Caenorhabditis elegans: one gene and its partner. The protein of the gene in region 1 purifies or fractionates together with the protein of each later gene. This does not show direct contact. Each region holds a gene or a part of one and is shown on either strand. Other genes may lie near its edges. The genes, in order: snrp-40.1 and aman-2.

Region 1 (4,339 bases):
ATCAACCGTACAAGTACTTGTTTGCTCAATAAAAAACTGTGCACAGACATCCCATCATGGAATAGTTTAGTTTGGTCTGTATTAATAATCCAAGTATTAAACTCGATTGAAATCATACACGGTCGCGCCAAAATAACTGCTCCGTGGATACTGCTAATTTTATCTCGACACCGTTTGCAAGCATGGAGCGCGGTTTCTTAGATTTTTGTTTCAATCATATTCTATGCTTTTTTTAAATTGTAAAAGACTGAAAAGCTTGCATACGGCCCCTCGACTCAGTATGACAGTACTCAGGGAACGATCATTTTGATACGACTCAACTATAACACTTAAAAAAAGGAAAATATGCTTAAACTTGTTTTGCCATTTGACAAAAAAGAAAGAAAAAAGGAGAACTTGAGAATTAAACAATTGCCAGTAACTCGGAATGCGAATTGATACTTCTTCACGCATTGATAATTATCCATCCAATTGTTTACTCTAGAGCAATTGCGGTAAATTGATTAAATATTGACCTTCATCTTTCGCTGTTACCGCCTTCATCTTCTTTCGTATTTCCATTAAAACAATTTTTCTGGCGTACTTCAATTTTGAATTGCAAGAATTCATTTGATAAAACATGATCACTGAAAAATAAATAAAGAGAGTCGGACATAAAGTAAGTTCAAAAATTACATCAAAAAAGGAGATCCAGTGAAAAAAACAAAACAGAAAAATGACAAAAAACAAATTTAACCGGCGAATATGGATGTTTTGAATTTCTAGCTCATATCGATTTCTCCCAAGAAAACACGTTTGTCACTTCCACACGAGAGCACTGAAAAATTGAAATTATTGAATGGTCAAACAATGGAAATTTTAAATTTTTGTAATTTATTTTTAACTCACTGATAGGTTCCTTTGGGTGGAAATCGGTACAGTTGACACTTCCCATGTGACCTGGAAGCTTGTACACAATTTTTTTCGACAGTGTTTCCCAGACGTAGAGAAAACGATCCGACGAGCCAGCAGTGATGAATCTCTCACATGGCGACCAAGAACATTTGAGAAGGTTCTTCTCGAAATTGTGATTATGACCAGCAAAAACTCCCACCGAACGTTGTCCTGGTACGAATGGTCGAATATCCCATTGTCGAACAGTGCAATCCATTGAATTGGAAATGATGAATTTCCCACTTGGTGACAAAGAGATTCCAGTAATTGTGTCACGATGTCCAGTCAGAGTGTAAGTAATCTCGTCACGACGCATGTCCCAAACTTTGAGCACGTTGTCAATTCCACCACTAATCACTTGATCCGAAGAATCATTGAATGTAACTGCTGTCTGCTGGTATCGGTTGGTGTAAGTCTTCACTGGTTCCTTGGTTCTCATATCATGCACACGACATGTTCCATCGTCACTGGCAGAAGCGACAAGAGTTACACCACGACGAGACGGATGGACGGCGTTCACAAAGTCTGTGTGAGTTCTGAAGCGACGAGCGCAAGTCCCGGTTTCCATATCCCAGACACGAACACTTTTGTCTGTTCCACAAGAGACCAAACTGCTGCTGTCGGTGGTGAATTTTAAATCCATAACTGCTCCTGAGTGTCCTTTGATTGTAGAAAAGTTCTCGCATTCGCCGTATACATTCCAGAAGAAGATCTGCAAATCATTGCTTAAAAGGGTTGTTTAGTATGAAGGTAGTTTTATATTCGGTTTTTTCAAGACTATACAAAGTTCTACGTTCAATTGTTCTTATTTGCAAAGACCAATTAATAATTAAATCATAGAATTTAATATTTGAATATAAATTCTTGAGACCACAAGGATTTGAAAAAAACTCACTTTCTGGTCGTATCCACTAGTCGCTAAGCATGTTCCATCTGGGCTGAATGCACCGGTGTAAATTTCTCCTTCATGACCTAGCAAAACCATTGTTGGTGCCTGAAAATATAGATTTCTGTTTGTTGTTTGATAAATGTTTAATATTTACCATCAAATTGGAGAATCTCTGCGCAGTTTGCTGTGGAAATCCAGAGCTGACCAGTTGCTGTCCCGAAGCTGAAATGTTTTATAAAAATAAATTACACAAAATTATAAAATAAACTTACAAGTAACAAGAGCCATCGTTGTGTTGGTAAATGTTGGGTTCCACTGGAAAAACAAATTTGAACACTGGAAGACGTTTTCGAATAGACAATGACGATGCAGTGTGAGAAACGCGGAGACGAGTTGTAAATGCAATGCGGTGGAGCGCGTTTACATTTTCTAGTGCGCACACTTGCCGTTCGTCCTCCCTCCCTGGCAGCAGGTCGGGTCTCCTCTCAATGTCTGCCGGCGCTGAGAAGAGAGCATAGGAAAGAAGGAAAGTAAAAAGAAACAAAGAAGAGTGAGAAGAGCTGCTGTGTGGCAACCAACGACCGCATGGAAATTTGTGGAGGCCACGAGAAAGAGTGCACATTACAGAAAAAAAAACAAATTTTTGCCAACTAGGCAGAAGAGCGTGGTTCACACGGAGAGTGGAGACGACATGGAGATAAACATTGGATTCTGTCCGCTATCAGTTACCTTTAGACGTTATCAAGGCGAAAAAACGCTTGAGGCTACGTACGCATCAGGCTTGCCAAAAAAGGTTCCCCTGGCAACCTGCCAACTCTCCAAGCCATCTCCACTTTTCTTTCCTCCCATGCTGAATCTTTTGTACATTATATCAGTTTAGAGTTTTTTTCCGTTTCTCATTGTTGCTTTTTCGTTTTGATTGTTTTACATATAAATTCATATGTTTTCAGATACTCAGAATATATTTCTCAATCAATTCATTGCGGCACTGATGTTGCAAAGTGATCAAGAGCAATTGCTCCAGGCGCAGCAAGCGTTGAACAGGCTGAATCTTTATCAAATAACTCAGCGAATTGTTACGAATCAACAAAACCAATTTGTTACCCAACAACATGATCAATCAGTTCAACCAAACCATACAAGCAGCCCGGCCTACTATGACGAAAATATAAGAACACGAAATGAGGAAATAGACGGAGCGATTGAGTATCACAGAAATATCCAACCTTTGGAGCACATATCCACTTGTATACTCAATCACATTAATCAATTCTCAATGCAGGAAAAAATGGAGTGGTTACACGACCGACCAAAAGCCGTTGAGACTTTGCAACAACGTTCCACTGTTCTTCTGCATGAATTAAGTAAGTCAATTGTTAACACCAATAAAATAATGTAACAATAATTTCAGCAAACGTTGATGACTTTTCACGCTTGTTCGGTCTCATGAATTTTGGCGAGCGCCAAGTGGGTCTAACGTCAATCCAACAAGAGTATCAGAAAATCCATGCTGTTCTTCAAGAATATCTACAGTTCCAGCAAACTAAAACTATATTGCTTTTGGCTGCACGAATCTTTGGATCGTCTTTACTCAATGGTGGGTTTGAGTTTACAATTTTTACGTGCTGAGTTGTACATCAAAATTTTAACTTTCAAAAAATATAAATTAAGTATTTTCTAGCAAACAAATTGTCAACGTTAGCGTATCTAGCTGAATATGAAATTTGGTTGTTTAGTGCCATTTTTATTTTTGTTAACAATGAAAACTTTGAAGCTATATTTATGTAAAAGTCAGCTAATTAAGCAACAAAACTACAAAATATGGAGGTTTACGTAGAATTTCAATTCAGCAGTTCCAAATAATCAGCTTGCTCAACTGATGTACACTTTCCCGAAACCTGAAGGTGCAATGCAAACCCTCAATTATAATGTTCACAATGGGCTTGGACCATCAACACTCAGCTCACCAGGAAAGATTAAGGAGAAAAAAAGCTTCACCCAATATAGGAAGATTAATGAACGGTTCTCTCAAACAAAATCACCTACCTTATACACAAACATCTTCGGCGAAACTTCGATGTCAGTTATGAACGCAGCCAATGCCATCAGATCCTGGGAAGACAGAAAAGCTGTTGCAGAGCATATTCATACCTATGTTGAGAAGAAAAGTTTACTTCACGAATTCGTTCGCAAAATTTCAAGTGAGATTGAGTTCAAGTTTATAAAAGCGTCAATACTTTTTTTGCAGATATTGGACTTCGAGAGCTCAGTGGTTTCTTTGGGGCAGCAAGAAAACCACTTCCATGGGATGCAAAGGAAAATCAAATCTTTGAGATGGTTTTCCCAAAGTTAGCTGTCTTTTTATACGCAACAAATCGAACCCCACATGTCGTCGCAGAAATGGAGCTTCTCTCTGAACATCAATACGATTTCAAGAAACATTTCAAAACGGCCAACAAGAAAAAATACAATCCAGTGAGTTTCAAATGAATTGTGTTCGTTACTCATTGTTACTCT
Region 2 (8,251 bases), on another chromosome or scaffold:
ATACAAGAAACCTGCTTCTTCGCAGGATCCGATTTTAATTCGTTTCGAGACCGGGTATCGTATTCTTTCATCATAAATCGTAAATCTTTCAACTATGTATTTAATGTATAAAATGTTAAATATTCCAAAAAAGCTCACATTTCAACAGTAAGAACACTTTTTAAATGTCTTGCCACACCACGAAAACCACTAATCAAACTAATTTGTTGCTGTTTTGATTGATCAATCAGAACTTTTCTCCCAATACTCCGGTTCTGGAAAATGGAAATAATAAAATGCGAAAACTAAAATCTAATACTTACAGTCATCTTTTCGTCTGAAAATGGAGGCATAGATGTATACTAATGAAGGTAATAGCTTGAAAGAGATATAAGCCCCAAGAGAGGGAGCAGACAATGTGAGCGAGAAGCAATGAGTGGTTACTATGGTAACATGTGGATACAAATCTTGGAAGGGTCTCCTGGGAAAGGAACTACTAGAGAAATATATAGTTAACTTTGTTTTCTGAAATTTAATGAATTCCGTAATAGACTCCTAATTATTAAAAATGCAATTTCATTTTTGAAGTTTGATGAAAGATGTAATTAATTTTATAACAATTTATTTGGAACGAAAAAAATTTTACATGAAAACCGGAAGTGTGAAATCGTTGTTTCATAATTACATCGTCTTATACAAGATTATAGTTAATAAATAAATACCCATGAAATGTAATGAAAACTGAAAATATAACTACTACATATAAGCAATTATAAAATTAAAATGATACAAGAATACTGGAAATATCGTTTGGTTGGAGTCGGAATTGTTCAGCCTTGTTTCCTTCATAAAGATTGGTTAGTGACGTTTTTTTCGCAGACTTCAGTGTCGAGATCAATTTGAGTGGCTCAATTTCTAATCCAGTAGCTAAGCATGACGTGTCTGGGAGGGTAAGCCTGGATCTACAGTCTGGAACAACTCTATGCATCACCATCGCTGCTTTCTTCTCAGCTGCCGTAGATCTTTCGTTGGCTTCGTAAGTTGTCGGCGATGCCAGTGTTCTGAAAATGATTAAAGATGAGGGTTACTGTAGATTTCAGATTTTTTAACACCTAAATGTCACTAGATGCAGGTCACAGTTCAGCTCTTGTTCCACATTTTTCGAAGAAATAGATTTTGGTGTTGCATCTCCAATCATTTTGACAAGAGGATAATGAAGAGACCACGTAGCGAGATGACCAACATGTGAATGGAATCCAACTCGTTCTTCCTTCTTATTACCACTCGATGAAGACATCGGCTCAATAACAATACGGAAATGTGCAACTGTTCGTTTGTTGTCTCTAACTCCTTGCTGAAGACCTCTGTTGTCATCTGAACTAAGTCGTCGATCAAGCATTATTTCAATTTGTCCCGACGAGAGACTGCTAACTCCGAGAGCCTGTGCCGAATGAATTGACATTCTGGTAGTATCGTCTTCAATGTAAACACCAGCAGACATGGGATAGAAATTGGCCTGTGTTGGTAATTTAGTTTGTCGTCTCCTTTTTATCATTTGCATTCCATTGAGATCAGTGAAAAACTCATCACCACTATTTACTGAAGAACTGAATCTCAGTGCCAACTCGAAATTCTCCTTGGAACGTACATCAACTTCATTATCCAAATCAATCCATGGAAGCCCTTGATAAAGTGTGTACGTTTGCAATATTTTCAGATCATTGTTTGGAGTTGCAAACACTTTTTGAACAACTTCTCCTTTTACCAATATCCAATCACTTGATTGTTTTTTGAGTTCTCTAGCTTCTCCATCGGGAAGGAACAGGTATGCGCCAGCCGGGTTGTCTTCATTTCCATTTGCGACTGAAAGAAAAACATTTTTAAAGCGAACAAAAGATTTGGAGGAAAAGCCTAGATTTTGAAGGGATGAGAAGTGAGAGAGTGAAGAGGAGTGAAGAACGGATGCATCTCTTGACCCAAATCGCCTTATTTCAATCACTTGTTTATCATGTCAACGGCTGATTTGTATCATTTCGCGCTTCTACGCAGGAATGGTGATGTTCTATGCAGCTGCAGTTATTCTAGCTGTATCCGCAGTTTCAGGTGAGTTACTGAAATATTTTGTTTCATAAACTGCACTAGGATGCGTACAAAATGATAAATATTATTTAATCCCTTATTTCAGCCGACCCATTTATTTATAACGTCTACTCATCTTCGGGATCTCGTTCAGGATATGGAAATCCTTATGAACGTGATGAAGTCTATATTCGTAGACCCGGAATGAGCGGAAGTTCATTCTATTCTGGTTCGGGTAACCCAATGATGTCGTCCATGGGATCAATGAGTTCTATGGGAGGATTTCAAGGATTACAGGGAATGCAAGGAATTCAGAGTATCCATAACATGCAAGGAATGCAACAGATGCCGTATGGACTTTCTAGCAGTATGATGGGAATGGGTGAGATTTAATACCTTGTGTGGAAATCACACATTATCCTAATAAAATCGGAAATTTCAAAACTTCAGATACGTATGGATCTAACATGTATAAGCCTCGTTTCGCTGCATCTGATATGATGATGGGAGGTGGTCAACCATTACTACTCAATGGATATCCAATGTACCCAAGTGAGTCAACAGATATCAATTCATTTTTATTAATTCATTAATGATCTTTAGAAACTTCTGGATACCCAATGGTGATTCCACTGGCCATGGGATCCTATGGATCTTCTCCTACAGTATACCAGGGACCAACTGTCTCTCGTCTTCCATTCAGAGCTACTCAACGCGCTGTTCGATCAGCCCGTTACTATTACTAACAACATTCAGATTTAATAATAGTTCTAAATATTCTAATAATCTTCAAATAATAAATCTAATTACTTACACTTTCTCTTTGACTTCCGTGCTCCATAATGAATAAAGTGAGAATTCAAATCAATTGGTTTATCATCAACAAGACTGGTAGCTCTTTTAATCATTCCATTTTCTCCATCAAATTCAGCTTCAACTTTGTCGTTTTTCACAGTAAAGTCTCCAGAAGTGGATGAAGATTTAAAACTTGTTTCTTTGAATTCTGCCGCATTATTGGTGATTATTTCAACTTTGGATGTTGTTGTATTTTTCACAAGTCTGAAACTGACAGACTCCATTGGTCCAAGTGATAACATGAAGCAAAGCTGAAAGACATGATTATATGGTCACTTTCAGGATAATCCTTTATAAATTACTTCGAATATTCCGTTTTTGACAACAAGCGTTTTCTTCTCTTCATCATATGCAATAACCGGCGAAACTTGTTGTTTTTTAATTGGAGGATCAGCTTCGACACCAGCGTCAAGAGAATCAACTTGAATACAAATTGGCTCGTTGCGATTTCTAGATAAAGTATTGAACAATACGACGTTTCTGTAAGAAATACAATTAATCAATGAAAATGGAGACATTAAAAAACTCACTGCCCAATTTTATAGACACGTTTTTCGGGTAGAAGGTTTTCATTAACTCTATGCTCATCCATCTGCATCTTATTCGTTGAATCAATTCCCAGCAATACAACAAGAGCTTCCGAAAGAATATCCTCACATGCGTTCAAAGCATCAATCATTTTCTGACCATAATCCAAGACGACGTGATCTTTTGCCGTACCAGTTACACCATCGTGATGTTGGAAAAGTGAAAGAGCTCGTCGAGCAGTCACAAGCTTCTCAAAAATTTTCGCTTCAACCATTCCTTCTTCTTCAATATTTGCAAGGGTAAAGGCGATTTCAGCTGATCTTAAATAATGTTGGAGAACCCGATCAAGCTGTTTATAGAATGGACGGGAAGTGAAGTATCCTGAAAATTCGTAAAGCGGTAAAAAATTTTGTTAGTTATTTATTTTTTTTCGTTTTTTTTGAAGTTGTTTAGCGATACATTTATTTCTCGCTTTTTTCAAAAAAATAAAGTGAACAAAAAAGCGAAAAACTTTGATATACTGAAAAACAGAAAAACTAGAATCTACACTTGAAATTATAAAAAGAGTACACTTTTGATACATAGATGTTTAAGTTTTTCAAAATTGCTTTTCAATCTTACAAAATGTTTTGTTTATTTTGTGTTTCGTGTTTGGCCAAAAAAATAATTGTTTGCTTTTTTCAAAAAAAAAAACAAAAAAAAAGAGAAAAAATCTGGAATATTGAAAACGAATAAAACTTTAAATTTTACATTTTTCCAAAAAATTACACTCGAAATTAAAGTTTTTCAAAATCACTTTTCAAAGTTTTATTTTTTTCGTGTTTTTGGTGAAAAACCTTTTTCGTTTTCGTTTTCTCAAATTAAAAAAAACTTTTTTTTTCGTCTTCGAAAACAAGAATTTTTGGATTCTGTCCTGATGCTTACCACTCCAATAATGATCATCTCTGTCCGCATAAGTGAAGAAATCTCCAGAAAAAGTTGGAAGTTGCTCGCCAGACGCAGAAATTGCAGTATCAAGCTTCTTGAAATAATCAGAAAGAGTTCCGAATTGAGCATGAACATTCCATTCTGATTTGGAATTCATGTATTCGAACAATTTCTTATAGTTTTCATATTGTGAATTCCATTCAAAATCAATGTCGTACCTAAATAGAGAGCACTATTAGTTTCTAGATTAAGAAATAAAATCTCACCTGAAATCATCTCCAAGTGGTTGGAAAATCACATTATTCTTGAAAAGTTGACTTTTCTTTCTATATTGATCATAAATCATTTCAGCTCTGTGAGCCACATTGTCATCGTTAATTTTCTGTGGAGGGATTCCCCAATCACATGATTTTCCACCTTCTGGCATTCTACGGAAATCGAATTGACAGCAAACAGACGGTTCTGGGCCACACGTATGAGGTATATCGTAAGAGTAGAAAGGCATAATATGTGAACGAAGATCAGGATGTCCAGTTGATCCAAATAATTGTCTCCAGTAGAATTCAAGATTCTTTTTCAGAGCAAGCTCACGTTTCACCGAATAATGAACTCTGGAAATTGAAAATATTTTACTATTTTTAAAAAATAATGTTCATACCTTTGAATTACAGCATTGGTTATATTAGCAGAAGTTAGAAGATGTGGCATTGATGGTGATAAACCGAATGGATCAATTGACCAATGAGATTGTGGAATGGCGCCTAAATATTCAATTTATGCAATATTCAAAAAAAAAACTTTTACTCACTTTTTCCCAAATGATTTTGAATCCATTCATGTCCTTCGAACAATTCAGTGATCATTGAGTGATAATGTGCATTAGCTTCATCTGTCATAACCCATCCGCCAGTAACAATTTCAAACTTTCCTGCTTCCAAATATCCTTTAACTTTCTTTTTAATTTCATCTGCCTGGTCTCTCCACCAAGTTTCGAAAAATGATATTTCTGCATATATAAACCGCATTTCGTCTTTTTCTGCCAAATGTTTAGCCATTCCATCAAGAATATTGCGAGTTTGTCTGTTGTAATACTCTTCGAAAGTCATAATCCATCCGGGATCACAATGAGAATGAGGTATCACAATAACTTCCAAACGTGGAAGAGATTTGACTTTCTCTGCATCGTATTCAATTTTCCATCCTTGTTTCCATACACCTCCGTCTGGATTTTCGAACTTCCAGGTGTCATAGAGATCGAGCATCTTAAAAAAACAAATTTTATTAAAATATAAATAAAATTCTACCTGCAGGTCTGAATGAGCAATGCTGACGTTTTCTCTAATTCCACAAACATCTTTCATCGATGGAGTTGGCTTGATATGTTGCTTTACTTGATGAATATGAGCCATTTCACCACGATTTCCTCGAACTGGAACTGGTGCAACTTCTTTTTCCTCTTTTTCTACTTCTTTTTCTTCCGTTTTTTCTTTTTCTTCATCAAAATCTACCGATTTTTCAGCTTTTGCTCGTTGAACTTCTTGTTCCAAGCGGTCTATCGTTCTTCCATTTTCTTCTGCTACATGCTCCAAATTTCCGATTTTCCGCCGTAAATCATCTACATATCTCTGAAATAAATTTAAGTCATATTATTATAATCTTAATTTGAAAACTTGCTTGTCGTTTGGTGAGCGCTTCAGCTCCGGTTTCAATTCCATTGTACAAATAGAGTGATACGGTGAGAAAGACTCCCAAACATAGGATAATATAGAAATTGCGTTTTCCCATGCTTTATCTTGCCATCAGGCTGAAAATTATTCAGTTATATATGATAATCAATCAAAGACAAAATAAAACAGGTTCAGAAAATGTAACGGCATGTCCAATAAAATAAGTTGTTCTCTCCAATAAAATATGTGTTTACAATGGAGCGAGGTGGCATAGTACTGACCTCACTAAAAGAGGAATTGTGACTTTGGAGAACCACAGTTTCAAGAAAGAATTTTGTACTTAGCTTTTTAATTGTGATGTATTTAATAACATTCAAAAAGAAAATAATTGTAAAATTGTTATTTATTCAAAAATTCTTAAAATCATTTTCTAAATATACATAAATATGGCGAAACAATGTTCTCTGGAAATCCGTTTCTCCGGCACAGAGGTGTCTCGACACATTTTTTTCTCTCACAAAAGTATTGCACAAAAACCCTCTTAATTTCCTTTTTTTTGCATTTTTATGTGGTTTGAAACTATTAAAAATAACTAATTTAGTCAGAAAATAGGCCAAATGTCTACATCATATTTTCAAATATTAATAATCGTCAATATTGCGCTCTTATCAGTAGTTTATCGTCTATCTTTGCAAAGTTCCTTGCACTGTCTTTTATTCACAATCAATATTCATCTATTTTAATGTCATCTCTTTTCTGGTTTCAAAAATCATGACAAAAACGAAAACAACCATTTTTCTTCATCACTTTCACTACTAATTTAGTTCAAAATAGCCCAATTCTTGAAAATTCCAGCCGCATTCCAGTCATGACAACCACTACTATTCAATTCAACGCGCTGCTCCTAGATATTGAGGGTACAATAACCAGTATCTCCTTTGTTAAGGTTATTTTTTCTTCTATTCTATTTCTTCCATTTGATTATCAATTAAAGTTTTTATTTTTACAGGATGAGCTTTTTCCATACGCGTTCGAGAACGTTGGAAATTATTTGGAGGAGCACTACGACAATCCAGCAACTCAAATAATTGTTGAAGATTTGAGGCACATTGCAGACCAACAAGCGGAAAATGATGTGGCAGTTGTGTTAGTATTTAATTTGCACAGCTTGTTTTTATCGAATTTATGTACTTTACAGGCGGATCCGCGAACCAAGAAAGGAATGCATTGAGGATGTAACAAAAAATGTCAGACACTGGATAAAAAGAGACAAAAAAGTTTATAGAGTATTTGAGAAAAGGTGTTTAAAATTCAATATTTTCCAGCTGACACCAATGAAAGCTCTCCAGGGGCTCATTTGGGAAGAGGCTTACCAGCGCGGAGATGTGAAAGGACAGTAAGTAAAATCGACAATAAATAAGTAACACGTATTGTATAATTTTACAATTTCAGTGTATATCCGGACGTTTTACCAGTTTTGAAAATTGTTGAAAATAGAAAAATCCCGATCTACATCTACTCATCGGGATCGGTCCACGCTCAAAAGCTCTTGTTTGCCAATTCAATTGAAGGAGATATGACCAAAGTATAATATTCTTTCCACAATCCATTTTAATGTTTTCTTTCAGATTCTCTATGGCTACTTTGACACAAATATCGGTCTGAAGGGAGAAAGCAATTCATACACGAAAATCAGCGAGCGAATTAAAATTCCTCCCAGTGAAATACTATTCCTGACTGATGTTGAAGCAGAAGCGGCTGCTGCCAAGAAAGCTGGGTTACAGACAAAGTTAGTAGTTCGTCCTGGAAATGCGGGTCTAACACAAGAAGCTATAAACGCCTACGGAACCATTGAAAGTTTGGAAGAAATTTTGTAATTCTTTGTATTCATTGTATTCTTTCCTGAAACATTGTTTGGAGATCTTTAATAAAGCCTTCGGTGTAAAAATTGGTTTTCTAGCTTATTTCGAGTTTTCATTGGTCTCATAAATATATTTACAGCTTTTTTGAATATTCAAAACTCCGAATTTGAATTCAGAATGATAATACGGTGTTTTCAAAATTTAAATCAAAGTTCATTGCATCTATATCGAGGAATTTGTACTTCTCGTCCGTCTTCAAGCGTTTTCGATAAAATTAAAAATTTTCTACTGGCTGTAAGTTGAAAATATTGAAAAAAACTTTGAATAAAGATTAAAAAAATTGCAGGAAGAGCG

Evidence for each region.
Region 2: the proteins of snrp-40.1 (region 1) and aman-2 fractionate together in Caenorhabditis elegans (co-fractionation; one large-scale study listed by BioGRID). This does not show direct contact.

Annotation. Positions count from the first base shown.
Region 1 is NC_003284.9:11,297,491-11,301,829, forward strand, and holds snrp-40.1 (U5 small nuclear ribonucleoprotein 40 kDa protein), read right to left. Parts: upstream 2,295-4,339; 5' UTR 2,111-2,294; coding exon 2,095-2,110; intron 2,045-2,094; coding exon 1,977-2,044; intron 1,928-1,976; coding exon 1,829-1,927; intron 1,646-1,828; coding exon 889-1,645; intron 818-888; coding exon 762-817; 3' UTR 546-761; downstream 1-545. Other genes in the region: F08G12.3 (RasGEF domain protein), read left to right, coding at 2,814-3,186, 3,234-3,419, 3,673-4,023, 4,071-4,297.
Region 2 is NC_003283.11:11,927,075-11,935,325, forward strand, and holds aman-2 (Alpha-mannosidase), read right to left. Parts: upstream 6,173-8,251; 5' UTR 6,154-6,172; coding exon 6,043-6,153; intron 5,994-6,042; coding exon 5,673-5,993; intron 5,631-5,672; coding exon 5,177-5,630; intron 5,130-5,176; coding exon 5,027-5,129; intron 4,980-5,026; coding exon 4,635-4,979; intron 4,587-4,634; coding exon 4,366-4,586; intron 3,823-4,365; coding exon 3,444-3,822; intron 3,394-3,443; coding exon 3,216-3,393; intron 3,165-3,215; coding exon 2,873-3,164; exon of another isoform or gene 2,805-2,872; coding exon of another isoform or gene 2,662-2,804; intron 2,611-2,661; coding exon of another isoform or gene 2,509-2,610; intron 2,441-2,508; coding exon of another isoform or gene 2,165-2,440; intron 2,083-2,164; coding exon of another isoform or gene 2,031-2,082; exon of another isoform or gene 1,976-2,030; intron 1,843-1,975; coding exon 1,092-1,842; intron 1,041-1,091; coding exon 758-1,040; 3' UTR 587-757; downstream 1-586. Other genes in the region: osm-6 (Intraflagellar transport protein 52 C-terminal domain-containing protein), read right to left, coding at 139-254, 303-332; F58H1.2 (uncharacterized protein), read left to right, coding at 2,031-2,082, 2,165-2,440, 2,509-2,610, 2,662-2,804; F58H1.3 (Enolase-phosphatase E1), read left to right, coding at 6,904-6,981, 7,045-7,181, 7,234-7,312, 7,361-7,431, 7,488-7,620, 7,664-7,912; F58H1.8 (uncharacterized protein), read left to right, coding at 8,075-8,191, 8,244-8,251.